Linked DNA regions of Zea mays. The main gene of each other region encodes a partner of the protein of the gene in region 3 in a complex. Links are inferred from orthologs where the notes say so. Each region holds a gene or a part of one and is shown on either strand. Other genes may lie near its edges. The genes, in order: 30S ribosomal protein S31, chloroplastic-like; 30S ribosomal protein S10, chloroplastic; rps8; 30S ribosomal protein S6, chloroplastic-like.

Evidence for each region.
Region 1: rps8 (region 3) and 30S ribosomal protein S31, chloroplastic-like share a complex: the UniProt entries of both Arabidopsis thaliana proteins name them as parts of the 30S ribosomal subunit. The link is inferred for Zea mays from reciprocal best matches to the Arabidopsis thaliana genes rps8 and PSRP4.
Region 2: rps8 (region 3) and 30S ribosomal protein S10, chloroplastic share a complex: the UniProt entries of both Arabidopsis thaliana proteins name them as parts of the 30S ribosomal subunit. The link is inferred for Zea mays from reciprocal best matches to the Arabidopsis thaliana genes rps8 and AT3G13120.
Region 4: rps8 (region 3) and 30S ribosomal protein S6, chloroplastic-like share a complex: the UniProt entries of both Arabidopsis thaliana proteins name them as parts of the 30S ribosomal subunit. The link is inferred for Zea mays from reciprocal best matches to the Arabidopsis thaliana genes rps8 and AT1G64510.

Annotation. Positions count from the first base shown.
Region 1 is NC_050098.1:170,388,261-170,396,208, reverse strand, and holds 30S ribosomal protein S31, chloroplastic-like, read left to right. Parts: upstream 1-3,792; 5' UTR 3,793-3,850; coding exon 3,851-4,046; intron 4,047-5,263; coding exon 5,264-5,328; intron 5,329-5,410; coding exon 5,411-5,542; 3' UTR 5,543-5,755; downstream 5,756-7,948. Other genes in the region: putative RING zinc finger domain superfamily protein, read left to right, coding at 33-112, 317-485, 594-660, 794-1,016, 2,293-2,503; fructose-bisphosphate aldolase, cytoplasmic isozyme, read right to left, coding at 6,424-7,463.
Region 2 is NC_050096.1:24,106,543-24,114,824, forward strand, and holds the start of 30S ribosomal protein S10, chloroplastic, read left to right. Parts: upstream 1-4,070; 5' UTR 4,071-4,188; coding exon 4,189-4,374; intron 4,375-4,558; coding exon 4,559-4,615; intron 4,616-4,621; exon of another isoform or gene 4,622-7,671; intron 7,672-7,677; coding exon 7,678-7,989; 3' UTR 7,990-8,282.
Region 3 is NC_001666.2:75,777-82,444, reverse strand, and holds rps8 (ribosomal protein S8), read left to right. Parts: upstream 1-3,546; coding exon 3,547-3,957; downstream 3,958-6,668. Other genes in the region: rps19 (ribosomal protein S19), read left to right, coding at 1-57; rpl22 (ribosomal protein L22), read left to right, coding at 150-596; rps3 (ribosomal protein S3), read left to right, coding at 658-1,332; rpl16 (ribosomal protein L16), read left to right, coding at 1,474-1,482, 2,525-2,926; rpl14 (ribosomal protein L14), read left to right, coding at 3,036-3,407; infA (translation initiation factor 1), read left to right, coding at 4,037-4,360; rpl36 (ribosomal protein L36), read left to right, coding at 4,461-4,574; rps11 (ribosomal protein S11), read left to right, coding at 4,762-5,193; rpoA (RNA polymerase alpha subunit), read left to right, coding at 5,256-6,275; petD (cytochrome b6/f complex subunit IV), read right to left, coding at 6,493-6,668. UniProt on the Arabidopsis thaliana protein: One of the primary rRNA binding proteins, it binds directly to 16S rRNA central domain where it helps coordinate assembly of the platform of the 30S subunit.
Region 4 is NC_050096.1:303,985,388-303,993,001, forward strand, and holds 30S ribosomal protein S6, chloroplastic-like, read left to right. Parts: upstream 1-3,649; 5' UTR 3,650-3,764; coding exon 3,765-4,187; intron 4,188-4,834; coding exon 4,835-5,080; 3' UTR 5,081-5,204; downstream 5,205-7,614. UniProt on the Arabidopsis thaliana protein: Binds together with bS18 to 16S ribosomal RNA.

The DNA.
Region 1 (7,948 bases), on a different chromosome or scaffold from region 3:
GAGGAGCTTCGTTTTGTGTTCTAGAGGGAGTCATGTTCCATGGCGGCAGGCCTCTGTCCCTCCGGGGGTCTCTCAAGGCGCTTGAAGCTGATATCCACCATGCCAACACCCTGTAAGTCCTCTCCTCCCTTTTAATTTGCCCTGTATTTCCTACTCTCTTGATTCTCGGCGTTCTCCTTTGCTACCTGATTTTTCTTTGGAAAAGCTGTAGAGTAGGGAAAAGTTTGCCCTTTCGTTTTCCGTCCCCGATTGTATTCGGCTCGTGTTCTATGCGTTTACTGATGAATATAGGTAAAATCCCCTCTCTCTTCTCCAGGGCGCATGCTATACACAGGGCGTATGGGGGTGCCTGCGTGCAGATGAGGCTGTCCTACAGCTCCATGGCTCCAATCTTTCTCAACCTTATCCAATGGATGGACTGCAGCTGCTCCCTGTCATACACGCTCCCTAGCTACCTTGGCCTGCTCGAGGTTCTCGTCTACAAGGTACCGACGAATAGCACTTGCCGAGAGAGTTTGCTGAATCCACGACGAACTGACTGGTATCTCCTGAGGCTTTGAATGTTGACACGGTCTTGGTGGTTGAACACGCAGGTTTATGTCGATGAAGATGCCTCCATATCCACCATAGAAAGGAGGGCGAGCCTGAAGGAATTCTACAGTATGCTTACTATCCACCATAGAAACTAGTGATTAAGAAGCTTTTTTTTTCTGTTCAAGATTTTTTTTTGTTGATGCTGCTGCTGCTGCTGCAGCAGTGGTTTAATATAGTTTTGGGACCCCATGGAATGCAGCTATCATATACCCTTTCTTGCAACAACTGGAGGACAACTTGATGGACAAGGACTGCAAGGACAAAGGGTGGTCTGCTGCTGCCGCCGCCGGCGGCGGCGGCGGTCGGAAGCTTGTTGCCGAAGATGACAGGGAGGATGAGTGTGGCATTTGCCTGGAGACCTGCACCAAGATGGTCCTTCCGAATTGCAACCATGCCATGTGCATCAACTGTTACCGAGACTGGTATTGCTCCCTGTCGCTCTTGCTTATCCGTTTGGGGGGTGTATTATTTAAGCAACAATATATCTGACTGAGCCTGGATCGTTATCAGTTAGGGCCCCGATATCACACGCCACCATTAAAAAAATTCGCTAGCGGTTTGAACAGACTCAATGTGATGTCGATTTTAAAGATAAGGTTCGAGGAAACGAGTAAGCATTGACGCAGTCTTGAACTCTTGATAGCGCAAGGGTGGTTCAGTAATGATTTTCTTAAACTTCTCTGTGGGCTACTTCTACTCACTCATTGTTGGTGGGGAGTGGGGAGGGGGTGGTTGAACAACCCATCATAGTCCCAATGCACTTCTTTTTTCATGTTCACCATTTAAAGCCTCCATTTAGTCAAATTCAGATGCTACATTCTCCTGAACTGAATGTTTGTGTTTGTGTGTGTGTGTGTGGGGGGGGGGGGGGGGGGGGGGGAGGGGGGTTCCATTTTAATCTTCGCTCCCCTCATGTGCGGAGTTTCTTCTATTTGTTTTTTACCACCATGATGGCATGGGAGTCCATGTGTTTCTTGTTCTATATTTTTCAGCCTTCTGTTTGTCAAAACTAGGAGGGATTTTATGTGATCTAATGACCATGTGCCATGTCAGGAGATTCATTATCTTCATTCCTCCAGCAGTCCAGCTGAATGCCAGAGATTTGCTGGACAAAGTTTATGATACTTTGCGCCGTTGTTAAAAAGCCCCCACGTTTCGTCAACAATTAGCAATGGTCCATTAACGGAATCGAAAGCAGACAACTGGGAGTGCTGTTGTAGCTTTAATGAAGTCGTTAAACCATTATTCACCAGTGCCAGCCAACTGCTAAGTTACAGACAAAAAAATAATAAAGGGATAAAAGGGGAGACACTCGTTGACGTGGCATTCTAAATCCTAAATGATTGTATTCTCTTAGCTGGCGGATCATGCTTGTGTACCAAGGATGTCATCTGCAAGTCATTGTGTTTTGATACATGTCAGGTTGTTGGTTTCAATGATACTCATCAATCGGCTGCATCACTCCAAGTTTGGCGAAGTCAATAGTAGCTTTCACAATAATGTTGCTTGAGTTAGATTAGATTACGGATAAACTCAATGGGATTGGTTATTGCAGTAGATTCTTTTGGTGACCACTGGGCCCATCTATTGTTGTAGCGATAAGAGGGATCATCCCCAACTGTTTTAATGACCCCATCCTGTACTGTTCCAAGCAACACCAATGCTGAACGCTGTAACCTGGATGTTCCGTGACTGCAGGTACACAAGGTCCCAGTCATGCCCGTTCTGCCGCGGGAGCCTGAAGAGGGTCCGGTCCAGAGACCTGTGGGTGCTCACCGGCGACGACGACGTGATCGACACGGTGACGCTGGAGAAGGAGAACGTGAAGCACTTCCTCAGCTTCATCGACAGCCTGCCCCTGATCGTCCCCGACAACATGCTGCTGGTCTACTACGACTACCTAGTCTAGCAAGGCTCCTCCCCCCACCCCCCACTCTGAAGCTCTGGAAGAGGAAGGGGGTCTGGGAAGAAGACGCGGCGTACAAGCGACAAGGGTTACCCGCAGCCGACCATCCTCTGCGGATCGAGTTGGCAAAGCGAAGCCGTTGCCGACCAACAGACGATACTCTCGTGGGCATGCCACGCCGTTGCGCTGGCTTTATTGCATGGTGGCGTTGCTCGCTGTAATGGTTGTAAATAAAGAAGGAAAATGTCTCGGGTTTTATATATAATATACTAGCTTGACATTTCTCGTCTGGCGAATTGCCGGACTGTTCAGAATGAAGAAATCAGGGGGCCTCTACTTCTCTGCTCTATATATATCGTCTTCAATTCTCGTGGCCACCTGCACCATTCATAATCGTGAGCGTTGTTGAGGATTCATCCGTTCCTCTCCTTCTAGAGGTTCCAGAAGAAAGAAGACACATGTGGTCAGGTCATGCCATCGAACCGTCTCCACTCCGTGCAAGGCACTTTGCTTGAGGCGTTCTCCCACCACTACATTTTGGCCATCGGTTTTTTATTCATGATTGGGCACTGAAACTGAAACTCTGCTCGGTTGACATGAACCTGATAGCGACCGTTCAATCTGTGCTGTACAGTAGTGCACAGGTGAGTGCCTGACAGTGACCTTGGCAACTCCTCCATTCGGTATTTCGGTTGCTGAAATGAATTGGAATCGCTCCAGCCACACGCTCCCAAATACTACTAACTCCAGCTCCAGGACCGAAAATTGCCTGCACGGGGGTGGGGGACAGCTCGGGGCCGCTCCTTGACGCTCACCCTACCCTCAGGGTTTGTTGATGCACAAGCCATGAGCTCATCCAGTCCGGAAAGCTGGCACCTTGCACGGGTGGTGCCGTGAGGCCGGCCACCATGGGTTCAAGTGTCTGCCTCCACCAGTCCACCGCCGAAATCGAGATTCGAGAAGGACCAGAACCCTAACTCAGCAGGAGAAGCACGGGCCGGAGAACGACGCTGGAGCATCTAGGGTTTTGTTTTCTGTTAGCATGAATCAAAGCTAAGCTTTGGTCATCTTAATTATATTAATTATCAAAAAAAAGAAAGAGAAAGAAAAGGATCCAAGACCTGACCAGACTCGACGACGGCCTGGCTAGGTGTGTGCACCATACTTTACAGTAATGGCCGATAAGGTTACTTCTGGCCCAGCCCACACCAGCCCTGCAGCCCATCTTAGATGTGCGCTGTGGCTCCAACTGCGAGCCCTTTTATCCCTTATCCAACCTGATCCACCACACCACCATTCCCGAGCACACTAGTCTCTCTTCCCTGCGCTTGCTCGCTCCTTCTTGCCCCCATGGCGCTGCTCGCCGTCCAGGGCATGGCCATGTCCACCGCCGCCGCGGCCCTCCCATCTCACAACCACGGCGCCGTCTCATCCTACGTCTCCACCTCCTCCTACGCGCTCGCAGCCTCCGCCGCCTTCCCCCGCGCCCGGGCTGCGTTCGCCGTCGGCGCCGTCTTGTCGGCCACCGTCACTCCAGTTCTTGACGGTAATTAAACAGCTACCTCCTCACTCCCCTTGTTTTTGTCCGATGTAGGAGTAGTTTCTTTCTAACACATGTCACGAGCAATGGCTACTGTTTTCCACGCAATAAGGGAGAAAAGGCAATGACTACTATTACACTGACACTTGGGAAATTCGTTCCAATTCAATCGGGATTTTTCTTCTTTTTATGAAATAGTCAAGGGATTTATTACTGAAATGTACTCCCCAGAAGAGATGGAGGTTGTGATGCTGTTAGTCGATCTGGGTCAACTAGACTGACCAAGGAAAGCATCCAGTTTTTAACAAACTGGTTCATGAAAATTGTGGTGGTTCCAAATATACTAGCTTTTGTCCCAGTCTATAGAAGTTGGATTCTCAGTTTCTTAAAAACCAAGAAGCTAATCCCATCTAGCTAAAGGCAGTTTATAGAAATTGAGGTGGTTCTAAAAACTATTAACCAGTTTTTTTATAAATCACTTTATAGAAACTGAAGTTAGAAACTAGATTCTTAAAAACTAGGTTGCTTCCAAACATGGCCTAAGGGTCTGTTTGGAAGCACCTAGTTTTTTTTATAGAAATTGACGTGGTTCCAAACTAATTTATAGAAATTGGATTCCTAGTTTCTTAAAAAACCAAGAAGCTAGTCTTCTCTAGCTAAAATCAATTTATAAAAATTAAGGTGATTCTAAACACCATTAACCTTTTTTTTTATAAACTAGTTTCTAGAAACTGGATTCTTAAGAGCTTAAGTTGTTCCACACGAAAAAATTACGGTATCGAGGAGCAGGAGCATATATATGAACTGAAAACTACTACTGTAGTAGATTATTAAACCTTTACCGGTTGACTGATTCACTTCACACGGTGTCAGGAGTGAGTGCCAATCAAGGAAGCTGAATCTCTTGTTTATCACTACCGCCTATAGTTTTGGTCGTCTCTGTTGCCACTGGCCTCAGCTGTTGTAAACACTTGTTTCTGGTTTATTAATACAGAGAGTCAAAGATGGATGCTTCTCATGCGTGTACTTCAAAGAAGTTTTAGTTAATCATAATTTGAAATCAATTTCTGAAATTCTAGTGTCCATAGCCTGCTTCAGGATTTTATTCTCTGATTGTACTACGAACCCAACTGGGGTGCTGTCCCTTTTGGCCTCTGTTTATATCAATACTGATGATCCTGTGGACTGACAGACAGTTTTAAACTTTATCTGGTCTTGCTCAGTCTACTGCGGGAGAGGGGACAAGAAAACGAAAAGGGGCAAAAGGTTCAACCATTCATATGGCAATGTGAGTGCTCCAGCACAATTTACATCGCATTTTTGGTTTTTTCCCCCTGTTCTGTTTTATTTAGCTGTCTGATCATGTCTAGGCGAGGCCGCGCAACAAGAAGAAGGGAACTGGGCCTGCGCGGCTCTTTGCCCCTCCTGCTCCTCCAAGGAAGGATCAGTTCGATGATGGGGAGATCATTTCAATCGAGATTGACGAGGACATCCTGGAATAGGTTGTCCGAGTTCTGCCTTGCTTTATATTTGCCCTGAGCTTAATTGGCCTAGTTTGTACCAAATCAAATACTACATATTTTAAGTAATTATTTCCTCGCCTATAATTATCGATGGGTAGGCTGCCACACTTTCATTTGGCTAGTAATGTTCCTACTACTGACTGGGTTCTTTATTTTCCTTTCCAGCTGCTGAGTTCTTTACTCTCTTCAAAATGAAACTGTGTCGAAATAAGTTTTTTTTAGAAGATATTAAATGATTCATCTAGTGGTAACGGAGAGATTACACGTTTCATTTGTAAGGGGATTAATAAGATTTAATCTCTTTCAATCCTCTTCTAACCGAACAATCCAGCCCTAACAGGTAAAACAAAATCCAACTAGCGATTTATTCATACGTCAGCAATGTGCAAAGATCTTGCGTGCTGAACTAATGATCGTGTTGTGTTATTAATATGTGTTGCAATGATGTAAGTTTTGTTTCAAACTTCAGCTAACACTTTCAGGTCTCTTGCTATGCCAATCTCTCACGAGTGTCTCAGCAAAATATGATCCAAACAAGTTGCTGTCTCCAACTCAGCATATATGAATTTTTGCCGACTCCAACTCAGCATATAGAATTGTTTTTGCCGATACATAGCCAGAATTACAGCATAGTTGATAGAACAAAAAAAGGGAGCTGCTCGATTCTCCATCGGCAGGACCAACTTACACGAAATTTAACAGCAAAGAGACTAATTAACATACAAATATAAAGATAACCATCATCCCACATAGGAAGCATGTTTTTTGGATGTCCGAAAATAAGCTCTAACGAGCAAACCACACTCCGCAACCTAGCTCGTAGGCAGGAGTTCCAAAACGGGCACGCAAAGAGAAGCAACTCAGTACTTGTAGTCCTTGACGTGGAGGCTCTCGGTGTCGGCGGCAGCATCACCCTTGTAGGTGCCGAGGGTAGCCTCAGAGTTGGCCTTGCACCTGGCGAGGAAGGCAGCTCTAGCCTTCTCCAGGTTCTCCACCTTGCCAGCCCAGGCCTTGAGGGTGCTCGCCTGGAGGGCACGGCCGAAGGAGAAAGACAGGGACCACGGCTTCTTGGTGCTGAGCTTGTTCATGGCATTGAGGTTGCGGGTGGCCTCCTCCTCGCTCTGTCCACCAGAGAGGAAGACAACAGCAGGCACAGCAGCAGGGACGGTCCTCTGGAGGGTACGGACGGTGTACTCAGCAATCACCTCAGGGGTCACCTTCTTGGAGTCGGAGCCTGGAGTCACCATGTTGGGCTTCAGGAGGGTACCCTCCAGGAGGACATGGTGCTCGTTGAGCGCCTTGTAGCAGGCAGCAAGGACGGTCTCAGTGACGTAAGCGCAGCGATCAATGTCATGAGGGCCATCAACAAGGATCTCAGGCTCAACAATTGGCACCAGACCATTCTCCTGGCAGATGATGGCATAGCGAGCCAGACCCTGAGCGTTCAGGTCGATGGCAAGCTGTGATGGCTCATTAGGGCCAATCTTGAGAACAGCGCGCCACTTGGCAAAGCGGGCACCTGCCTCGTAGTACTTGGCGCAACGCTTGCCAAGGTCGTCATGGCCTTGGGTGGTGGTCTCCTTATCAGTGCCAACAACCTCAATGGTGCCCTTGTCAACCTTGATGCCAGGGAGGACGCCTCCCTCCTTGAGGACATCAACAAAAGGCTTGCCATCCTTGGTCTTCTGGTACAGGGTCTCCTCGAAGAGGATCACACCGCTGATGTACTGGAGAGCACCAGGGCAGCAGAATAGGAGCTCACGGAGGGCACGGCGGTTCTCCTCAACGTTCTCGACATTGATGCTGGAAAGGCGCTTGCCAATGGTGCCAGTGGACTCATCAGCAGCAAGGATACCCTTGCCGGGGGTGCCAATGTAGGCAGCATTCTTGATGAGCTCATCTGCAAAACAATATGCATAATAAGCATGGCTATCTACCAGGTACCAAGGCTATACTGAATAATACAAAATGACTTCCATTATCAAATCAGGAGGCCATCCTGAATAATACAAAATAAACTTTAATTATTAATTCAGGAAGTTTACTGTTTATTAACCAAAAACTGCTTTATATATAATTGTATCGGCATAAACATCATGACTAAAAGGAACCACAGATCAAGATTAGACTAGCACAAAGCTTTAAACGATTTACATATCTGACTGTCCTAGATGTATATGCGTCCAGCATCTATTCTAGTAGCCATGAAACAACAGGCAAATATATTTAGATTGAACAAACAGGCTATATATAATTTGAAACAACCATATAAAAACTAGTCCCTCTATTTTTGTATAAAACTTGCTAGCAGGAGAATATGTTTCATCAACTGGAAACAGGACGAGCAGATGCATACCACTATATGTATGTATAAAATCGAAGCAA
Region 2 (8,282 bases), on a different chromosome or scaffold from region 3:
GTCTCGTGCATCGAAGGTTAGCGGTATGTGGGACCACTTCGTCTGCACGACTGGGCCGGTGACCGCGACATGGTTGATGCTGCGGTAGTGGTCCCGCTTCTGCCACTTGGTATCGAAGTCAGTGCTGGACCCCCCTGTTATCATGTGAATGACTCCGCGATATGGTTGATCGGCGAAGTCTTCCTGCTTTGGGGCATGGGGGATGTTTTGGTGTTGCTGGTGTGGTGGTGGGGGTGGAGGAGGTACGATTTGTACTTCCTGATGGTGTTGGTAAGCGTGGTGCGGTGGATGCGGGGCGGGAGCGTGGATATATGGTGGAGGGGGTGGCTGGTAATTATGCGCGACAATTCTGGGATTGTCGGCTGGCTGCGCCCGCGCCATTCTGTCTCTGGTGGCCTTCGTTTCGGGGCAGTCTTTGGTTTGGTGGGCGCAGTCTTCGCCGTGGAAAAGGCAGTAGAACCGGCGCGGCGGCTGCGCGCGCCCTCGGCCCCTGCCACGAGTTCCGTTTCCGCGGCCCTGGGGGGGATATTCCTGGCGACGAGGGGGGTCAGCAGTAGGCTGCTGGTTGGCGATGTTGTGCACTTGCTGTTGACTGCGGGCATCTCGACCGGAGTCTGGTTGCGGAGTCCTCGTCCACGTGCGGCTGGACTGCGGGGCATCTTTGGGCTTCCGTTGTGACTCAACCTTGCGCTGGTGGAGCTCTTCGGATTTGGCATATTTTTCAAAGAGCTGATATAGCTCCTGGAGGTTCTTGGGTGGATCTCTGATACAGTGGCTGTAGAGGACGCCGGCCCGAAGGCCACTGATGGCGTAGTGGATAGCGATCTGATCATCGACGGAGGGCAGCTGTGACTTGAGTGTTAAGAATTTACGGTAATACTCCCGCAGAGTCTCCTTTTCCAGCTGTTTGCAAAGCGAGAGCTCGACCAAAGCGTCGGTGTCTGGGCGGTACCCTTGGAAGTTAAGAAGGAACTTGTCCCTGAGGCTTCTCCACGAATCAATGGACAGCGGAGGCAATCTGGTGAACCAGATGAGTGCTGGGCCCTCTAGGGCGATGATGAAAGACTTCGCCATTGTGGCGTGGTCCCCTCCGGCGGATGCAACGGCGACTTGATAACTTATTATGTATTGCGCCGGATCGGTGCTGCCGTTGTACTTGGGATATGCCCCTGCTCGGAAGTTAGCTGGCCAAGGCGTCACTTGGAGGTGTGGCGCCAGGGGACTTCGCTCGTCGAGGTAGTTGACCCCTTGGAATGGCGCGCCGTGCTGGAAGGCGTAGTCATGCTGGGGGAAACGCGGGTTCTCCGGCTGCGCCCGGTGTTGCAGGGGTGGGCCATGCTGCAGGCCGAGGTGGCCTTAGCGCGTGTCTTCCGGTTGCGCGCGCTGCTGGAGGGGTGGCTCTTGCTGTAGACCGAGGTGGCCTTCGCGCTGCATCAGCGCGATCTCGCGCTCGAGGTCTTGGGCCTTCTGCTCCTCGTCGCGTATCATTTGCCGCACCTTGGCTAGTGCGGACACACGCTGGCGCTTGGCTTCGAGTATCTCTTTCTGCCTCTGGAGATTGCGGTTCTTGAGGCGCAGGGCGCACAACTGTAACTGTTCTTCTGTTGAGACGCCGAGGACCTCGCCGTCCTCGGTGAGATCCGCGCCCTCCAGTGGGGCGAAGCCTGGGGGCGGCTGCGATTGTCCTTCGGGCCCGCAGGTGCGGAAGGTGTCGTCTTCGCAGGTGTGGGAAATGTTGTCTTCGCAGGTGCGGGGAATGTTGTCTTCAGTGGGCTCTTGGTGGGTGGATTGGGTGAGGGCGAGGGCCTTGCCCTTTCTCGCGGCCAGCAGTGCTGCCTTCGCAGCCTCGTCAGCCTTCGGGTTAGCTCTCTTGGGTGCCATCGCGGGTGGTCTTGTCGTAGCACGAACGGTGGGCGCCAAATGTTGGAACTTGCTCTCAGTAGCAAGGAGGCCAACAAGGGTGAACGGTGGTGACAACAGGGTTACGTGCTCGGGGGCAAATGGCTCTGTTAATCTAGCCTCTCACGGGCACTGTGCGGGGGTATTTATAGGTATCTGAGTGCCCAGCGCCTTGTGTTAAGGACGCATGTGCCCTCGGACACCTAGTTTATCCCCAGAATATTCCCATAAAGCAGGGTTACAAGCTGTACTTACAAGAATGCCTTTACAAACTAGGCCCGTAACACAAAGGCGGCCACGCGAGGCCCGTTACAATGGGCCAGATCACACGTGGGCCTTAGAGCAGGACGAAGCCGTGCTGCGGGGAGACGTCACCGCAGGCCTTCGTCTGGTGCTGAATGAAGCGAAGGGTGTCCCTGCCCGTTTTGTCTTCGTCAAACCAGCGACTGCAGCGAAAGGCGACGAGCGAAGGGTGGCGTCTTTGCCTTCGCCCCAACACACCCCCCATCGATTTTTCCTCGGAATGGAATCATGAAAAATTCCAACGAAAACATTTATGGCCTGTTTCGATGACTATGTATTCACCTTTATCCATATTTATTAGAGTATATGTGTGCTGGACATGATGTTGTGATTCCCATTAACATTGATGGAAGAAAAAAAATCTAGTTACCTCACTATACGCAGACTGACGTTGTAGCTAATACTTATTAGGGTATCTTTAACCCCGTTGGGAATACCTGAATTCACCCCAAACGATTTTAAAGATGCTTTGTTGCCAGCCAATGAACCGAATGATCGTCAGCTCGGTTATGTTCGGTCTTTGTTACGCAAACACTTTGTGTGGAATGTATTTTCATTTAATGCTATATTGGTTGATTAGAACTGAGTCATCTTCTCTCTGCTACATAGCCAACAAATCTATTTGCTAACAATCTTCCTCAGAAAAAAATAGCAGGAAAGGAAAGAACTTTAAAAGTACCTGGCAAATATCTGAAACTTGGTATACTATTCATGTCACACTAATTTTATCAATCACAACCAATTCACCTTCTGTCTTCTATGTGAACAGGAAATCTCTACACCTAGCAATCTTCCTCAAAAGAGATAGGAAAATGCATCAAAATGCTTGGCGAATCTCTGAAACTGAGTCAACCACTTAACAGCAACTCAATAGCTATTCATATGCCCCGATTTTTGCAGCTTGCTCTAGGTGAATAAATTTGCTCAGGTGTCAGATGATCTGAACTTACTGTAGCATTATGCAGAAAACCAATCTCCGTTTTTGAAATATTGTATGTCGACTCTTAAGGAACTTGCAGCTCATATTGGTGAGGTGGTTGTTAATAAGTGCTTATCTGCTGCTGCTAAATCTGGCATGTTTGTCAGCTTGAGGACAAGCGCAAAACTCTGGCAGAGATCTGTAAGGTTACTGCTCTCACAGAAGTCACCAAATTCCCCTTTCTCAACCTCTCCTAAATCTGATCGGGACAAGACGAACGTTCATGGATTCAACCTTAATGAGGCATCACGTGCTATGAATTCTGATAGAACAGTCATCACAGCGAAACCAACTTTTGGTGATCGATTGTCGAACAAATCAAATACAGTTCCATCTCCCAGCACCAGCAGGCAGCTTAACCAGGGGGGGGGGGGGGGGGGGGGGGGGGGGGGGGGGGGGGGGCTGCTACTGCAACCGTTCCATCATATTCAAGGCTTCGTGGGCAGCAGTCGGGCTTAGATCTTGTAGCTGCTCTCAAGGGGATTGGGAAAAAGGAGTGCTGGGGATTGTGGTGATGGCCGGGATAAAGAAGGGAAGTGAATAGCTGGTGCTCTGTAGATGTATGTCTGTAGTAGAGTTAGTTTGGCCACCTCTATGGCTCATCATTCTGTATTTCTTTTGCCTCGTGCCAGGAGCTGTGAATGTAGCTTCTCCTATTTGAGCGCTGGTATGGACAGTCTATCCAGGCAAGAAGAAGGTAACTGATTGTTCCTTGAAACGATCAAGTTTATGCCAGCCAGATCGACACTTTTAGCTGAGGTCACAGTAATATCCAATTCCACGATCTTCCTTTCCGAACAAATCATTCATGATCTTCTTCGAAAGTAATGCTAGAGGAGACAGAACTCGCCCATGTTTGCCACCAGACACCTCGCTTTGAAAGTAACAAAGCTGGAGGGGCTCGAGCGCAAATGCCCCTGGAACCGGATAACACACCGCGATAGCGAAGCAGAGGTCTTCCAAAACCCAACGCGGCAAACGGCTTCCTCACCCCCCCTCCCCTCGCCATGGCCGTCCCCACCTCCACCTCCTCCCCGCTCCCCCTCCTCTTCCTCCATCGCTGCACCGCAAACTCTAGCCCCTCGGTTCTCTCCTTCCCGTCCTCCCTCCGCGGCGCGTCCCTCCGCTCCCGGGCCGCGGCCGCACCGCCCGCAGAGACCCTCTCTGACGACGGCATCCCCGACGCGCCACCGGTACGTGACTGAACTGATATTGCCGTGTCTTTTCGCACACGCAGAGTCCAAAACCTGCGAATTTCATGATGGCGTGTACCGCTTGGTTATGGGGGTTACAATTACATGGCGACATTGGTTCAGTTGGCACACTCGTTAGACCTTGTTCATTCGGTGACTAAAATTGTTAACCTCGCGCTTTCAGGAAGGGGCAGGAACGGGAATTCCGTTGCCATCGTCGATTGGGGATGATGGGGAGCAGGTACCTTCCATAGCAGTTAAAAATTTCCCAGATTATTATGTTACCGAATCTTTTGTTCTGATATTGTTGCTTCCTTGATCGAATGAACTGTGAAAAGTTATAACCATAAACCATACAACATGTTTCTCTTTTATTGCTGCATAGCAGTGCACATTTTACTTGTGATTGTTTAATCACAATAAATGGAGAGCACGATGTGCTCTGGGTATTTGTGTAAATGGCATTTAGAAATCGTTCAGGACGCAATGCAATGATGCTAGACAATATCAGTCAGCACATTCGTTTAAGCCGTTAATCTTAGTGTAAACTGTTCTTAACGTGAGTGTGACTTGGACTTCAAAAATGTATGTTTTTGTAGAAGTCCATATCACGTTAGACAGTTTAGCATCCTTAATGCTTAAGCCATGCATAGTTACCAGCACATGATTGAAGAGACTATGTGGGAAATTCATTTCGTTTGTCCTTTAAATCATTCCTATCAGACTAGAATGAGGATATCTGAGGGTCTATGGTGGTTTAGCTTTCCAGATTCTACTTAGCAGTTGAAAGCTTGCTGGATCAAACTTTCAAAGTTTTCTGCCTATTAATGCTCTGTTCCTCCTTGGAATTATTTGACGTACTTGAAAAATGGTGGACGGCGTGGGAGAGGGGGAGGGGCAGCATAGGGAGAGGGAGGGAGGGAGCAATAACTCTATTCTTGCTTAGACTGAAATAGTTATTTGCCCCTATATTTAATTATTTATAGTTCCTATAGGACTTGTATCCCAAGCATCATTCTTATAGATTTGTAATCTTGTTTCCTAACAAACCAATCTTCTTTCTTAAACAAACTCTATCATTATTTTCTAAACAAGCTATATTTTATTTATTCCAAGCTTATTGAAGATTACCTTTGAGTTTCCATCTATTCCGGATTCTCCAGTGCGGGAGGGATTCTAGGGGCAGTAGAGGCCGCGGCTCATCAGGGCCTGGTGTTGGGCCTCAGTTGGGCCACTAGGCCCGACATGGTGGCCCATATTTAGGCCTGTGAGGCTGTGACATACTGACTCATGACTGAAGCCTAGTATCATTTGGCCATCGAAAGAAAGCAAAAAAAAAAAAGACAGCAGTTGTCTCAAGCGCTCAGCAACCATGGACCATGAATTCCTTATTGTCTTTACCTCGCTGTAATTGCGCCCACTGTGGTAGTCAGTGTGTTCCCCTGAACAGTTAGCAATATCTAACTGTGTTGTTGTGTTTACAATTTGACAAGTTATGCAATTCCTCTTGCTTGTCTCCCTAGGAACCTCCATGGTACTGTCATTGAACTGTTGGAGTCGAGTTGAGATGCTTCCTTCATTCTAAAATATATAATGTCAATGTGTGTGCTCAGCCTTTTAAACTTGTATAAACTTATTTACTTTTCTCACATGGAAATGGTCAAATTGTAAACAGGACAAAGGTGTGTTTTGAAGATCCATGTCCAAAATGGCTATTAAGTAGTAAAATTAAATAGAGCTAACACTGTATAATCTGTCATTGAGGCTACTCCTTGTAGTTTTATGTTTACTTTGCTTCATGCTTCTGCAGTTCTGCTTGTTAAGCATGTCCATCGTAAATATTTGTCTGCAGTTGTTGTATGGAAGTGCTGAAAACGAAATTTTTACAAGGCCTTGTGCACAGTTGGGATCCTCCCATAGTGATTCTTATTTTCTTTAGATGTATCACAAGAGGAAATGGTGATAATAAACAGATACGGAGAGATACTTGTTGGTGTTTTGCATGAAGCTGGATCTAAGGGCCTTGTAGTGTTGTGTCACAGATTTAGATCATCAAAGGAAGGTAGAATTATGTTAAGTCTCGCTGATGCATTAACATCAGAAAATGTCAGCATATGTGTTTTGATTATTCTGGTAATGGAGAAAGCGAAGGTACTTTTGGATAAGGTTACTATAACGAAGTGGACGTTTTATGTGATGCGATCCTGCATTTCAAAAACACAAACGTGACACCCATGCTATTGCTGGCCACAGTAAAGGAGAAAATGTGGTTATCCTCTATACATCCATGTATCACGAATTCACGGTATATCTAAAGCTATTAACCTTTCTGGAAGGTTTAAGCTGGAACGTAGAATTGGAGATCATTCCGTAAATGATTACATGGAAAGGATTAATCAGCATGGTTTCATTGATGTGGAAGACAAAATAGGAGTATCATCTACCGTGTGACCAGACAAAGTCTGATGGATGGTCTTAAGACAGGCACTCTGCAATCTGCATGCATGTCTATTGACCAAACTGCAGGGTGCTGACAGTACATGGTGCTAATGACGATGTTGTGCCGTCAGAGGATGCTCTAGCGTTTGATAAGTATATAAGCAACCATGAATGGCATATTATCGAAAGAGCTGATCATAGATGTGCAACTCATCAGCTTGAATTAGCTGCAACCGTACTGAAAATTTATTAAACTGGATGAGGGTAGGCAGAAACAAACGCAGCCATGTGACATACCCTTTTTGCCCCAATATTTTTGATATATTAATTTTAGTGAAGAACTGTTTTATTGAACATTTATGTTTTTCATAATATTACAATATTTGGCCTGCATCACATCAGCTTGAATTAGCTGCAATTGTACTGAAATTTACTAAATCTGGATGATGGTAGGTGGAAACAAACATAGCCACGACATAGCCTATTTTGCTGGAGGACTGTTTTATTGAGCATGTTTATTTTCCAGAACATTACAATATCCCTCCTCTCCGCCCAACACACACGCAATATATATAGTGCAAAAGCATGCGCTTGCCTTCACAAATTGACCTTAATTGACTTGATAACATCAAGGTGTCTTGATTCCTAGCAACTACATGTTTGTCGTACAGGTAATTGAAGTGTTGTACAGGTAATTGAAGTGTTATAAGGTTTATTTTGCCTTTTGGAAACATATTTAAACATTATATGACCCTTACCCTAAATCAAACACATGCTTTTATTTCTTCACTGTTCAGTTTGCATGCAGAAGTTGCTATCTTTCAACGACTAATAACACTTTTTATGAATGTTATCTGTTCTCAGCTTGCACCCAAGCAGAAGATCAGAATCAAGCTGCGGTCCTACTGGGTGCCGTTGATAGAGGACTCGTGCAAGAAGATAATCGAAGCTGCCAAAACAACCAACGCAAAGACCATGGGTCCCGTTCCTCTGCCCACTAAGAGGAGAGTCTATTGTGTGCTTAACTCTCCTCACGTGCACAAGGACTCACGGTTCCATTTCGAGATCCGGACGCATCAGCGGCTGATTGATATCATGTATCCAACTGCCCAAACAATTGATTCGTTGATGCAACTCCAGCTCCCTGCCGGTGTGGATGTTGAGGTTAAGCTATGATTCTGTTGGAGCTGAACTTTCCGAAGTTTGATGTAATGAGGTATTCATTTTCTGCAGCTTTTCTCTGGGACTGAAAGAAATGTAGTGCCTGTACTAGGAAAGAAGATGTTCAGAATTGAATGTACTTGATTTGAAGTATATCAGATGATATGGTTCATGCTAGCTGTATACTTGTATTACTGTATTGGTGGCACTAAAATTTCTTCTAGCAAGTCTGAAGCAGACGAAGGATTGGCCAAATTTGTAAGCTTCTGAAGGATCGTTTGAGTCGTCTGGATAAGCAAAATACTCTT
Region 3 (6,668 bases):
ACTCGGCATTTCACGAGTTATGAAAGTACAAGAAAGGATACTAAATCTCGTCGTTAATTGAATTCAGAATAGAAAGATTCAGAATAAACAAAATTTATAGGATTCAAATAATCAAATAAAGTAAAGGTAGGCGGGTAATAACCTTATTTATGACAAGTTTCAAATTGGTAAAGTATACCCCTAGGATAAAGAAGAAGAAGGGGCTGAGAAAACTCGCAAGAAAAGTTCCAACCGATCGTCTACTTAAATTCGAACGGGTTTTCAAAGCACAAAAACGCATACATATGTCTGTTTTCAAAGCACAAAGAGTTCTAGATGAGATTCGCTGGCGTTACTACGAGGAAACCGTTATGATACTGAATCTCATGCCTTATCGAGCATCGTATCCCATCTTAAAGTTGGTTTATTCGGCAGCAGCAAATGCTACTCATTATAGGGATTTCGACAAAACGAATTTATTCATCACTAAAGCCGAAGTCAGTAGGAGTACTATTATGAAAAAATTCAGACCTCGAGCTCGAGGACGTAGTTATTCTATAAAAAAAACGATGTGTAATATAACAATTGTACTAAATATAGTAAAGAAATCAAAATAATCTTTAGATCAATCTAAGATTTCGATTCCCAGTAAAAAAAAAAGAAATATAATAGAAAAATATGGGACAAAAAATAAATCCACTCGGTTTCAGACTTGGTACAACCCAAAATCACCATTCCTTTTGGTTCGCACAACCAAAAAATTATTCTGAAGGTCTACAGGAAGATAAAAAAATACGGAATTGTATCAAGAACTATATACAAAAGAATAGGAAAAAAGGCTCGAATAGAAAAATGGAATCAGACTCAAGTTCTGAAGTAATTACACATATAGAAATTCAAAAAGAAATCGATACAATCCACGTCATAATCCATATTGGATTCCCCAACTTATTAAAGAAAAAGGGAGCAATCGAAGAATTAGAGAAAGATCTCCAAAAGGAAGTTAATTCTGTAAACCAGAGACTTAATATTGCTATCGAAAAGGTTAAAGAACCTTATAGACAACCTAATATTCTTGCGGAATATATAGCTTTCCAATTAAAAAATAGAGTTTCATTCCGAAAAGCAATGAAAAAAGCTATTGAATTAACTAAAAAAGCGGATATAAAGGGAATAAAAATCCAAATTGCGGGTCGTCTAGCAGGAAAAGAAATTGCACGTGCCGAATGCATCAAAAAGGGTAGACTACCCCTCCAAACAATTCGCGCTAAAATTGATTATTGCTGCTATCCAATTCGAACTATCTATGGAGTATTAGGTGTCAAAATTTGGATATTCGTAGAAGAAGAATAACTAACCATGTCTTCCCATTCCGCCAGTGATAGAATAAAAAAGACAAAACCTTGTTTTTCCAAAAATCCCTAAAAAAAAGAAGAAGTATCCCTCTTTCTATAAGATTTAATGAAAATTAAGAAATCTTTTAATATAATTGCTATGCTTAGTGTGTGACTGTTAGTTTTTTCTTTAGGGTCAAAAATGGAAAAAAACTTAGTAATGATAGAAAATTAACTAATAACCAACCTATTGCTTCGTATTGTCGAGATCCTAACTAAGAAACAGTCACTATGTGAATAAATACATCTATCAAAAATGAGTAGATCTATCATATAGTTGTAGCAACTGCATTTTTTTCTCTACAAAAGAAACCAGATTCTAGGCTATGAAGCAAAACTAAAGGGTAGTGGATAAAAGGAGGGATGATAGATAGAAGGAAGAAGAATAAGAAAGATATAGGATTCCCATATGTATGGTCTATGAATTCATCATAAAAAAAAGGCAATGTGATAAAGCATCAATATAATAAAATTCTCAAAAAAAAGAGAGAATTCATCGTAACTTGACTTTTGAAACAACAAATAAAAATATAAAGCAATAAATAAAGAGCAGCCGGGTTAATAAAACTGAGAAAATTGACTCGGAAAAAAAAATTGGAAGCTCCATTGCAGGATTCAAACCTAACCATTAAAGGAGAAGCTGTGGGAACGACAAAACCTATGACTACATAGGATTTATTGAAAGAATCCTAACACTTCATTGGTGGATGGCGGACAAACCACAAAATTGCTTTATTTGATAAGGTTCTAAATTAACAAATAAGACAGGAAAGAGTAAATATTCGCCCGCGAAATCCTTATTGGATTAGAATACTTTACCACGATTCAATAAGAATAAAAAAAAAGGAGATTCCAAAAAAGGAAGGATTACATTTTATATAAATATTGAATTTGGATATATTCTAGATCTTCTTTCTTGACTATATATTTAATTTTTCTTTTTTAAGTTTAAGAAAGTCAAAATCAAAAAAACCTAACTTTTTCTATTATATATTGATGTGTATCTATCTATAATATTTTTGAATATTATGGAATTAGAGAAATGACATTCGCACGCTTCTCATTTCATTCGCGAGGAGCTGGATGAGAAGAAACTCTCATGTCCAGTTTTGTAGTAGAGATGGAACTAAGAAGGAACCATCGACTATAACCCCAAAAGAACTAGATTTCGTAAACAACATAGAGGAAGAATGAAGGGAAAATCCTGCCGAGGCAATCATATTTGTTTTGGTAGATATGCTCTTCAAGTACTTGAACCCGCTTGGATCACCGCGAGACAGATAGAAGCAGGACGAAGAGCAATGACACGATATGCACGTCGTGGTGGAAAAATATGGGTGCGTATATTTCCCGACAAACCGGTTACAATAAGACCCACAGAAACACGTATGGGCTCGGGAAAGGGATCCCCCGAATATTGGGTAGCCGTTGTTAAACCAGGTCGAATACTTTATGAAATGAGCGGAGTATCCGAAACTGTAGCTAGAGCAGCTATCTCTATAGCTGCCAGTAAAATGCCCATACGAAGTCAATTTCTTCGATTAGAGATATAGAACCCCAAAAAGGAATATTGAAGATAAAAAACCCCTGGTTTTTCTTTCTGGAAAGACAATATTTCTTTCATCCTTTTGCATTGAAATAACAAATGGAAATCCAAATAATATGATTCAACCTCAGACCCTTTTAAATGTAGCAGATAACAGTGGAGCTCGAAAATTGATGTGTATTCGAGTCATAGGAGCCGCTGGTAATCAGCGATATGCTCGTATTGGTGATGTTATTATTGCTGTAATCAAAGACGCAGTGCCCCAAATGCCTCTAGAAAGATCCGAAGTAATTCGAGCTGTAATTGTACGTACACGTAAAGAATTCAAAGGCGACGACGGTATAATAATACGCTATGATGACAATGCAGCAGTTATCATTGATCAAAAAGGAAATCCAAAAGGAACTCGAGTTTTTGGCGCGGTTGCCGAAGAATTAAGAGAATTGAATTTGACTAAAATAGTTTCATTAGCTCCTGAAGTATTATAAATACTAGTAGACGAGATATAGATCAAAGAAAAAATTAGTAGATTTTGTCTCACGTATATGCTTTAAAATCCTAAATTTAAAGAAAAGGGAAAACATGTTGATTATAGAAAAATTAGGAGGAACCTAGAATTAGAGTCTTATGGGCAAGGACACTATTGCTGATTTACTAACCTCTATAAGAAACGCAGACATGAATAAAAAAGGAACTGTTCGAGTAGTATCCACAAATATTACCGAAAACATTGTTAAAATACTTCTACGAGAGGGTTTTATTGAAAGTGTTCGGAAACATCAGGAAAGTAACAGATATTTCTTGGTTTCAACTTTGCGACATCAAAGGAGAAAGACTAGAAAGGGAATATATAGAACTAGAACCTTTTTAAAGCGTATCAGCCGACCTGGCTTACGAATTTATGCCAACTATCAAGGAATTCCTAAGGTTTTGGGCGGAATGGGAATTGCTATTCTTTCTACTTCTCGAGGTATAATGACAGATCGAGAAGCTCGACTAAACAGAATTGGGGGAGAAGTTTTATGTTATATATGGTAATGGCCCCACCTATAGTACCCAAATTCTATCTCGAACTTCCTATTTTGAAAATAAAAATAGAAAAATAGGAGAAAAATATATGACAGAAAAAAAAAATAGTAGAGAAAAAAAAAACCCGAGAGAAGCAAAAGTCACTTTCGAAGGTTTAGTTACGGAAGCCCTACCCAACGGAATGTTCCGCGTTCGCCTAGAGAATGACACCATCATCCTGGGCTATATTTCAGGAAAGATCCGGTCTAGTTCTATACGAATACTGATGGGGGATAGGGTCAAAATTGAAATAAGTCGTTATGATTCCAGCAAAGGTCGTATAATTTATAGACTTCCCCATAAGGATTCGAAGCGTACCGAAGACTCGAAGGATACTGAAGATTTGAAGGATACCAAAGATTCAAAGGATTAGGTTTTTCTGGGGTAATAACTTCCAAGTTTCAAAATTTAAGTGAAGAGACTTATTTTTTCCAAAAGAATAGATTCATAGTTTAAGAAAGGAATACCCATATATGAAAATAAGAGCTTCCGTTCGTAAAATTTGTACAAAATGTCGACTGATTCGCAGGCGTGGGCGAATTAGAGTTATTTGTTCCAATCCGAAGCATAAACAAAGACAGGGGTAATCTTTCGAAAAAGAAGCTTTTCTTTCTAATAGCTTTTCTTTCTAATTAAAGTAAAAAGTACCCACGGAAATGCCCAAATTGCAAATAAAAAAAATGAAAGTAAAGGATATATTTTAACCTGAAACGGATATCTTTGTATCTTTTTTCTTTTTGTTATTTCTAACTCATATTTATGAGATAATAAAATATGACAAAAGCTATACCAAAAATAGGTTCACGTAAGAAAGTGCGTATTGGTTTGCGTAGGAATGCCCGTTTTAGTTTACGGAAGAGTGCACGTAGAATAACAAAAGGGATTATTCATGTTCAAGCTAGTTTCAACAATACCATTATAACCGTTACAGACCCACAAGGTCGGGTCGTTTTCTGGTCCTCCGCAGGTACTTGTGGATTCAAAAGCTCAAGAAAAGCATCACCCTATGCTGGTCAAAGAACAGCAGTAGATGCTATTCGTACAGTGGGTTTGCAACGAGCAGAAGTTATGGTAAAAGGTGCTGGTAGCGGAAGAGATGCCGCATTACGAGCCATTGCTAAAAGTGGTGTACGGTTAAGTTGTATACGCGATGTAACACCTATGCCGCATAATGGATGTCGACCTCCTAAAAAAAGACGTCTGTAAAAAAAAATGAAACCGCTTTCAAGAGAAATAAACGATTCAATGATCAAATAATATAGTCTGTTATGGTTCGAGAAGAGATAACAGGATCCACTCAAACACTAGAGTGGAAGTGTGTTGAATCAAGAGTAGATAGTAAACGTCTTTATTATGGTCGTTTCATTCTGTCTCCGCTTAGAAAAGGTCAAGCGGATACTGTCGGTATTGCCTTGCGAAGAGCTTTACTTGGAGAAATAGAAGGAACATGTATCACACGCGCCAAATTTGGGAACGTGCCACATGAATATTCCACAATAGTAGGTATTGAAGAATCCATACAAGAAATTTTACTAAATTTGAAAGAAATTGTATTGAGAAGTAATCTCTATGGAGTTAGAGACGCATCAATTTGCGTCAAAGGTCCTAGATACATAACCGCTCAAGATATAATCTTACCGCCTTCCGTAGAAATCGTTGATACGACACAACCTATAGCTAACTTGAGAGAACCCGTTGATTTCTGTATTGAGTTACAGATCAAGAGAGATCGCGCATATCATACGGAACTCAGAAAGAACTCTCAAGATGGAAGTTATCCTATAGATGCTGTATTCATGCCTGTTCGAAATGTGAATTATAGTATTTTTTCTTGTGGGAATGGAAATGAAAAACACGAGATACTTTTTTTAGAAATATGGACGAATGGAAGTTTAACTCCTAAAGAAGCGCTTTATGAAGCTTCTCGTAATTTGATTGATTTATTTCTTCCTTTTCTACACACAGAGGAAGAGGGCACTAGTTTCGAAGAAAATAAAAACAGGTTAACTCCACCCCTTTTAACCTTTCAAAAAAGATTCACTAATCTAAAGAAAAACAAAAAAGGAATTCCATTGAATTGTATTTTTATTGATCAATTAGAATTGCCTTCTAGAACGTATAATTGTCTCAAAAGGGCCAATATACATACACTATTGGACCTTTTGAGTAAGACTGAAGAAGATCTTATGCAAATTAATAGTTTTCGTATGGAAGATGGAAAACTGATATGGGACACTCTAGAGAAGCATCTCCCAATTGATTTACCTAAGAACAAGTTCTCGCTTTAAATCATTGCAATTTTTTCCTCTTCTTCTTTTTTGAGTTAGAATAAAAAGAAAAAAGAAAGCAATTTGGCATCTTTGGCATAATCTATATTTTCGCGAAATGGATCATAATAAAATAGATTTTAGGTATCTAGGGAAGATTCACTTGGAAGTAACTATTTCCTAGATACCCATGCAGGGGACTTCGCGGTGGAATGAATCAACTCGAAAAATCCCTAAACTAAAAAAGACCTAAAGTTAAGGATTTATCAATGGGTAATGTTGCTCCAATACCTAACCAAAGAGCTACTGCAGTACCGATTAAAAAAACGGTCGTAGCTACTGGGCGACGAAATGGATTTTGGAATTTATTGACATTCTCTAGAAAGGGTACTGTCAATAAGCCCGTTGGCACAG
Region 4 (7,614 bases), on a different chromosome or scaffold from region 3:
ATGTGCAGAAGGAACATAGGTTAGTGTGCTCAAAATATCAGTAGCAAAGATAACAAGCAAGCAAGTGAATGACTGGATCTAGAGTATAACGGTACAAGAAGAGATACAATTATACAATAACCAACCAAGCAAGATGTCCTAAATAACTAAATAAGCATTACGACAAGCAAAAACACCATATTGAACACAAAACATACTGTAATACATGGGGATCTAGAGTATAAAAATACGGGAAACACGCAATAAAGCTTACAATCAGCGTAATGAGAGAATAGGGGAGGGGTATGCCTAACTATGGAGGTAGTCGGATCCTCCGAGAGTAGGCATTCAAGAGAAGAGAGGGAACGAAGGATCTACACAAGAACAGAAGTGAATCGAAGTCAGCATATTCCAAAAGGCATGAAATTGATAAAATTAGAGGAGAGGGATGTGCCAAATCACCGACACAGAGTCTAGTAGCAATAGCTACTTAAGTCGATGCACCAGTAAGGAGCACAAGTGAGGGGGACATGATGGATAGGAGAGGAGATAACAATGAGAAGAGGGTGTGGAGTGGTGAGGAGAGGCGCGAGCCACATCGTCGAGTGCGGGAGGGGAACCCTAGTGAGATGCATGGTTATATGCCCTGGTCGCGCGGGAGCTGAGTTAGGCCAGGCTTGGGAGCGCTCTCATTTTCGACCATTGTTCCCAAGCCTGGCTAGAGGGAGGGGTTGCACATGTTCAGCTGAAAGGGAAATGTGCCCTTGGGCCATTTCTAAGTATTTTGGTGATTGAGTGCCAACACAAGTGCTTAAATGTGAAGTTATGCTCATGGATGGACAAAGTGCAAATCAAGAGTAAAGGTATGTTTCTAAGCCTTAGTACATTGGTTTTGTGTACTAATATACTTGTCTAAGTGTTAGAAACAGAAAGAAGAAGAAAAGAAAAGATGTGGAAAAGGCTTGGCTGTGTACAGCCAAGACTCAGCTCAGTCTGGCACACCGGACTGTCCGGTGGTGCACCGGACAGTGTCCGGTGCGCCAGGCTGACTCGGCGTGAAGAGGTCGCTCTCGGGAATTCACCGACGGCGTACGGCTAAAATTCACCGGACTGTCCGGTGTGCACCGGACTGTCCGGTGAGCCAACGGTCGGCAGCGGAATCTGCGCGCGACACGTGGCCGGGCCAACGGTCGGAAGGGGGCACCGGACTGTCCGGTGTGCACCGGACATGTCCGGTGCGCCAACGGCTCCCAGATCCGCAACGGTCGGCTGCGCCATTTTAGGAAGGAGATCGGGCACCGGACAGTATCCGGTGTGCACCGGACTGTCCGGTGCACCCGACGACAGAAGGCAAGATTGGCCTTCCAGATTTGCTCTCAACGGCTCCTAGCTGCCTTGGGGCTATAAAAGGGACCCCTAGGCGCATGGAGGAGACATCCAAGCAACCTTAGAGCATTCTTGATCATCCACACTCAGTCTTTGCACATTCGTTTGTCATTCTCAGTGATTCGAGCTCCGTTCTAGTGAGAACTTTGAGATAGTCTTTTGAGCTCGATTCTTGACCGTGTGTTGCGCATCTTGCTGTGGATTTGTGTGTGTTGCTTCCCTCCCTTACTCTGTGCTTCTTTGTGAAATTCAATTGTAAGGGCGAGAGACTCCAAGTTGTGGAGATTCCTCACAAACGGGAAAAGATTAAAGTAAAGAAGAACACCGTGGTATTCAAGTTGATCATTGGATCACTTGAGAGGAGTTGAGTGCAACTCTCGTCCGTTGGGACGCCACAACGTGGAGTAGGCAAGTTTTGTACTTGGCCGAACCACGGGATAACCACCGTGTCATCTCTGTGATTGATTTCTTGTGGTTATTGTGTTTTGACTCCTCTCTAGCCACTTGGCAATTATTGTACTAACGATTAACCAAGTTTTTGTGGCTTAAGTTTTCAAGTTTCACAGGATCACCTATTCACCCCCCTCTAGGTGCTCTCATCAGCATAATCCAAAGATTGACCTAAACAACCAAACGGGGTGGGGTGGCCAGTCGGTCAAGGAGTGTGCATCACTAGTCTAGAAGCTCGCGCTGCCAGCCAACGAGGGCACACACTATTGACCTCACGGTCATGGTCCGACCAGCGATGGTGCGGGCACGAGTAGACAACGAGGGAGGGGCTCGCCATGGGAGGAGATGTCATGGTGAAGAAAGCGACGCTAGAAGAGAGAAGATGTGTGACGGGAGAAGAAGAGAGGTGGAAAAATTAGAAAGAATTGGACTGTAATCGATGGTAGTGGTCGATAACTTTTCTCAACTCTATCAAACTTATGTTGTTGGAGCTTCCATTGAGAAGCTTCACCAAGAGAGTGGATCTAGCCTTTAGATCCCCCATTTTGGTAAATATAAATTTAGTGGATCTAGATCGTTTGACAAAGTTTTTCAAAAATTTAAATTATTTTTAGTGAATCTCAAATAAACTCATACTGTTGTTTCATTTGATATGGCTCCTTTTAGAAGGGCTCTAGCTCCTTATTTTATTGTCAGTAGAGTACCTTCTATGAAGCTGAAGTTTTTGTAAGTAAAAAAATGGGCTATTTAAATTTGTACCCTTAGTTTTGCTTCATTCCTTATTTTTAACCTTGGTCGTGTTTTTTCTTAGTTTTGCCCTACTACTCTATAACACTAGAAGGACAAAACTAAGTAAAAAAACACGACTAAGGGTAAAAATGAGAACACCAGCAAAACTTGGAGCAAAAGCTTAAAAAATCCAAAAATAAAAGCCATATTTCAGCATCGTGTCTCTTTTATAAAAAATGACTTTGACTTTTTGAGCTCTACAAGGAGTTGTTTTCGGCTATTGGCCCCTTTAAGAAGTCGTGAGAAAGTAGAGTCGAAGTCCTGTCAAATTGACCTACAATAGAATGTCTTCAGACCTTCACACAAAGTTTTTCGGTGTTCAAATTCACTAGATCTTTTATCTTGGTCCTGTTTGTTTCGGATTCTAGCAGCTTCTGGCCACCAAAAGCTGCTGCGGATTGCCAAACGCTCAGCTTTTCAGCCAGCTTCTATAAAATTCGTTGGGACAAAAACCATCCAAAATCAATATAAACACATAATCGGTTAAGTCGTTGTAATAGTATGAATTCATCACTTTCTAGATCCTGAGTCCTATGAACAACTTTATTTTCCTCCACACGTAATCGTAATGATACTCAGATTCTCCCCACAGCCAGATTCTCCTTACAGCCAGATTTTCAGAAAAGCTGGTCAGAAAAAAACTGAACCAAACAGGCCCCTTATATCTCGTATACAGAGAAGATTAGGTCTACTCTATATTTAGTCAATTCAACTGTTCGAGATTTTTTTAAAAAAATATAGGTCCGCTGTTGATATTGTATTTTAGCTGCCTAAATCTTTGGACAGCAAACTTAGATAATCAATTAGTATAATTAAAAGAATAATTTATACTTTTTCTATGGGTAAATAAAGGAAAACATACATGCTGCGTATATGACAACAAAAGAATCATACACATAAAACATAGAAGAAATGCATAACTACATATAGTTGAAATACACACAAAGTTAACGTTGTAAACAATTTTGGTTTAACTGGCAACCCGGCCGTTTTTCCACCAATATGAAAATCCGTGCAAACTCCAAACAGGGCGTGGCGTCCTATCCTTATCTATCGAGTGGACGCGACGCCAACAGCGTCAGCGCCTCCTCCCGCTCTCCGGCTCCTGTCCTGCTCGCGCTCGTCGCCCCCCTGCCGCTCGGCTCCCCTTGGCCCCTCCAATGCCGCCACCCATGGCACTGCTGCCGCTCTCCTCCGCATCCGCGTCCGCCGCGCTGCCGCCCTTCCGCTCCTGCCCGCCCGCTGCGATGCTGCTTCGCCTCCCCTCCCCCGCCCCCTCCCATTTCGCCCGCCCCCGCGCGGTCTCCACTGGGTACGCGGCGTCCTTCTACGGCGGCTCGGCGATGTCCGCGGCCGGCGGCGCGGACGAGGAGGAGGAGGTCGGCTACGAGTCGGGGTTCGGCCCGGGGCTAGGGCTGGGCGGCGGCGGCCTCGGGATGTCGGCCGCGGAAGCCGCGCTGGCGCTGGAGGAGCGCGAGATGCCGCCCTGCCCACCCGGCCTCCGCCAGTACGAGACCATGGTCGTGCTCCGCCCCGACATGTCCGAGGAGGAGCGCCTCGCCTTCATCCAGCGCTACGAGGAGGTAATTTGCGTTTGCCTCCGCTCCGTTTGGCTGCCACTATAGCTAACTGGATGGATGGAGCAGCGTAACACGGGCACGGCTCGATCGGCTCACCTCTGCCTCTTGCATATCTCGCTACCATTTGCTGTTCCGATGGCAGAGAGAGCAGACAGATGATAATTTCTGGACAGGCTGGTATCATACTTGAGCAATGCGAGACGAATGTTAAAAGGGTTCCGAGTGTTTCGAATTTCATCCAATAAATATTAGGATTTCTAAACGTATAAAAGTGGATCCGCCATAGTTAATTGCCATCCTATCCTGAATTCACCATGTATGTTAGGCACTGTTTCTGTTAGAAACTCACTCTAGTCTAGAGCTAATCAGTTTGTTCACATTGAAGTCAGATGCTGCGGCGGTAATATATAGAGACAAGAAACCGTTTCGGATTAAAGACAGGTGAACAGCTTGAATATATAGCAGTAGAGGTTTGAACACCCCCTACCTAATAACTCAGCTAATTTGTGAGTTAACAATCAGTCCATTAGCTGGTTTAACCTAGCTAACAATTTGTTAGTTCCAAACGGGCCCTTAATCGCTGTTATCAGTCACATGCCATCTGCGTACCATTCCAATCCAGCTCAGCTTGGTGTTTTCCTGTGCTGCAGCTGCTCGTCGCCGGCGGCGCCATGTACGTGGAGGTCTTCAACCGCGGTGTCATCCCGCTGGCATACAGCATCAGGAAGAGGAACAGCCGCACCGGGCTGCCGTCCACCTACTACGACGGCATCTACCTCCTCATCACCTACTTCACCAAGCCGGAGTCCATGGACGCCCTGCAGCTTAAGCTCAACGCCGACGACGACGTCATCCGCTCCACCAGCTTCAAGGTCCGCCAGCGGAAGGCCGTCTAGTTAGACGGGTTGCCTCCTCCGCCTTCAGGCCCTGAACACTGTTTTGTTCACATACCATACTACAAGAAATCTGCTGTACAAGAATCCACCTTTGCCATGATTGTTGAGTTTTTTTTTTTTGAATATGTTTCTTGTCTTGTGGTTCTCGAAAATGGACGTCCGGCCATCGTTCGCCAGAGAAACACCGCGCCTCCTAAAACCATCATGTTTCATCAGGTACCAAAAATAAAGGTCCGTAGCTAGGTAGCGTCGAGCCTGAGCGCGCTCCGGGGATGGAGAACAGTCCAAACCCATCGTAAATCTGCAACAGTACAAGCATATACAGTGCAATTTGTGGAAGAGATTCGTACAAGTACAACTTTCATTTGATTTCAGAGGCGTTTAAATACTCCACACTTCATTCCCATTTAGCGTCAAGTGCGTTGGTGTTTCCAAATATTCATTTGATGAAAGAGATGTTCTCGGCATATAACTAAACAGTACGACACTAGGACATGACATGATGCAGAACGCAGATTGGCTTTCGGATTTCTCGAGCAGGAACAGGAAACTTCGGAAGATAAGACACAAAGCACAACACAAACCAGAACAGACGCCAGCAATCCAAAATCTGTCAGCCATGGAGTAACATTTAGTATCTCTCATGGCGCCTGAAATCATAAACAAATACCTGGGTCAGTCAACGATGTGAGGCACAAGGGTTTCAAATAAAAAAGTGTGCCTATTATTCAGCAATACCTGCTGCGCTCCCTGGAGCGTGAACGCTCTCTTCTCCTTGAGTCATATCCGCGGGAGCGGTCATAATCCCTATCCCGGTCGCGGTCATGGCGACGGTCCCTATCGTGACGCCTATCGCGTTCCCTATCATAATCTCTTCTTCCATCTCGAGACTCAACCCTGTCTCTCCTTTCTGAATCTCTATCCCTGGACGGCGGGCCGTTTCGATCCTTGCTCTGCTCTCTAGATCTAAAAGAGCCAAATGGGCATGCTTTCAGATAAGATGACCATGATGCTGATTGCTGACTAAAACAATGAGGATGCGGAATACAGAATACCATACCGCCTATCATCTTCAGTTTTGCCTGTCCTCCTTTTGTTTCTCTGCTCCTGCAAGATGCCACAGTGTATTTTGTTTATTGACAGTACAGATAATGATATTTTGGCATATTTAAAATCAGAGACAACGTTCCAAAAGATAGGGCGGGCGATACTTTACAGGCAAGGTTGCTTCAGCAAAATGTAACTTGCAAACTTATGGAGGAGGTAGCAGATAGAAAACAGAACAAGTTGTCACTTACAGCAAAATGTTGGCAAAAGAAGTGTGCTTTCAGGATAACTTAACCAGTATTATTTGTCACCTGGTCTACATAATATGGCTCAGGCAGTAAAAAGGCAACCTCCAGCTTCTGCCCAACAATCGATACTAAGCAGACACATGAGCAGTTTGTCACAATTAAGTAAACATGATTTTTTTCATACCATGGTCCGCACGCTCCTATGCTTACATTTGTCAACAGACAGTGACTGTTGTAGCCATAGGTATGAAGATCATCGCATGAGATTCCAATCACGCGACATGGACTAATTCCTGTAATGACTATCGTAATAACCATAGTGCCCGGCAATGTGAGAATCAAATAATATATAGAGGGAAGGTGAGAACCTTGAGGCTCTTGAGATAAGAAAACTCACAGATGCCAAAAGGCCCAAAACAGAGTAACTCTTTAAAGCAGAAAACGGTACATTACACTCAGCACCTGATAAATTGCACCTTTATAGATTTAGATTGAGGATAAGTGAATAAACCAAGATTATCGTATTCTGATGATGGCCAAACAGAATGTAAATTTTGTTTTATTTGTCTTTAAGGTTTGGAAACCTTGGAAGTATTAATCTGTTTCATAAATCTCCAGTGTTTAACTTCTACTTTGGGCATAGGCATGCAGGAATTTACCTGAAGTTCTTTCTGTTTGTCACGAATCAGCATGTAGCCTAGATGCAGTTTCCCTCCAAAATGGTCAGCAAGACGTCGATCACTGTTGAGATATTTTCAGCTTAGGATCAACAACAACAAAGCCTTTTATCCTAATCAAGTTGGGGTAGGCTAGGGATAAAAGCCCGATGGAACCCACAAGTCAAGGTTGATTTATCAAGGTGCAATTTTTAAACCCAATAAAAACCCAATATTTTCAGCTTAGGATAAATATTCAATTTGACAGCTTCAGATATTTTTGGGAATGCAAAGAGCTAGAAGCATTACTTGTCATATACACTCAGAAATGCTCCACATATATCACAGAGGCGCAACTTTTGATCGGTCTACAAATTAAACAAAGAATCATCAGTATGTATCTAGCATTGCATCATGATGAATAGACACAGATAATAAGATGAAAAATCTGTAACAAAATAGTGCCAACCATTATTCCATTAAACCATAAAAAGGCAGTGTAGACCACAAGAACCTCTAAAGAGTAAATTCAATTACATGTGCAAACCATTCCTACCAAGAAATCCATATCAATGTATGATGT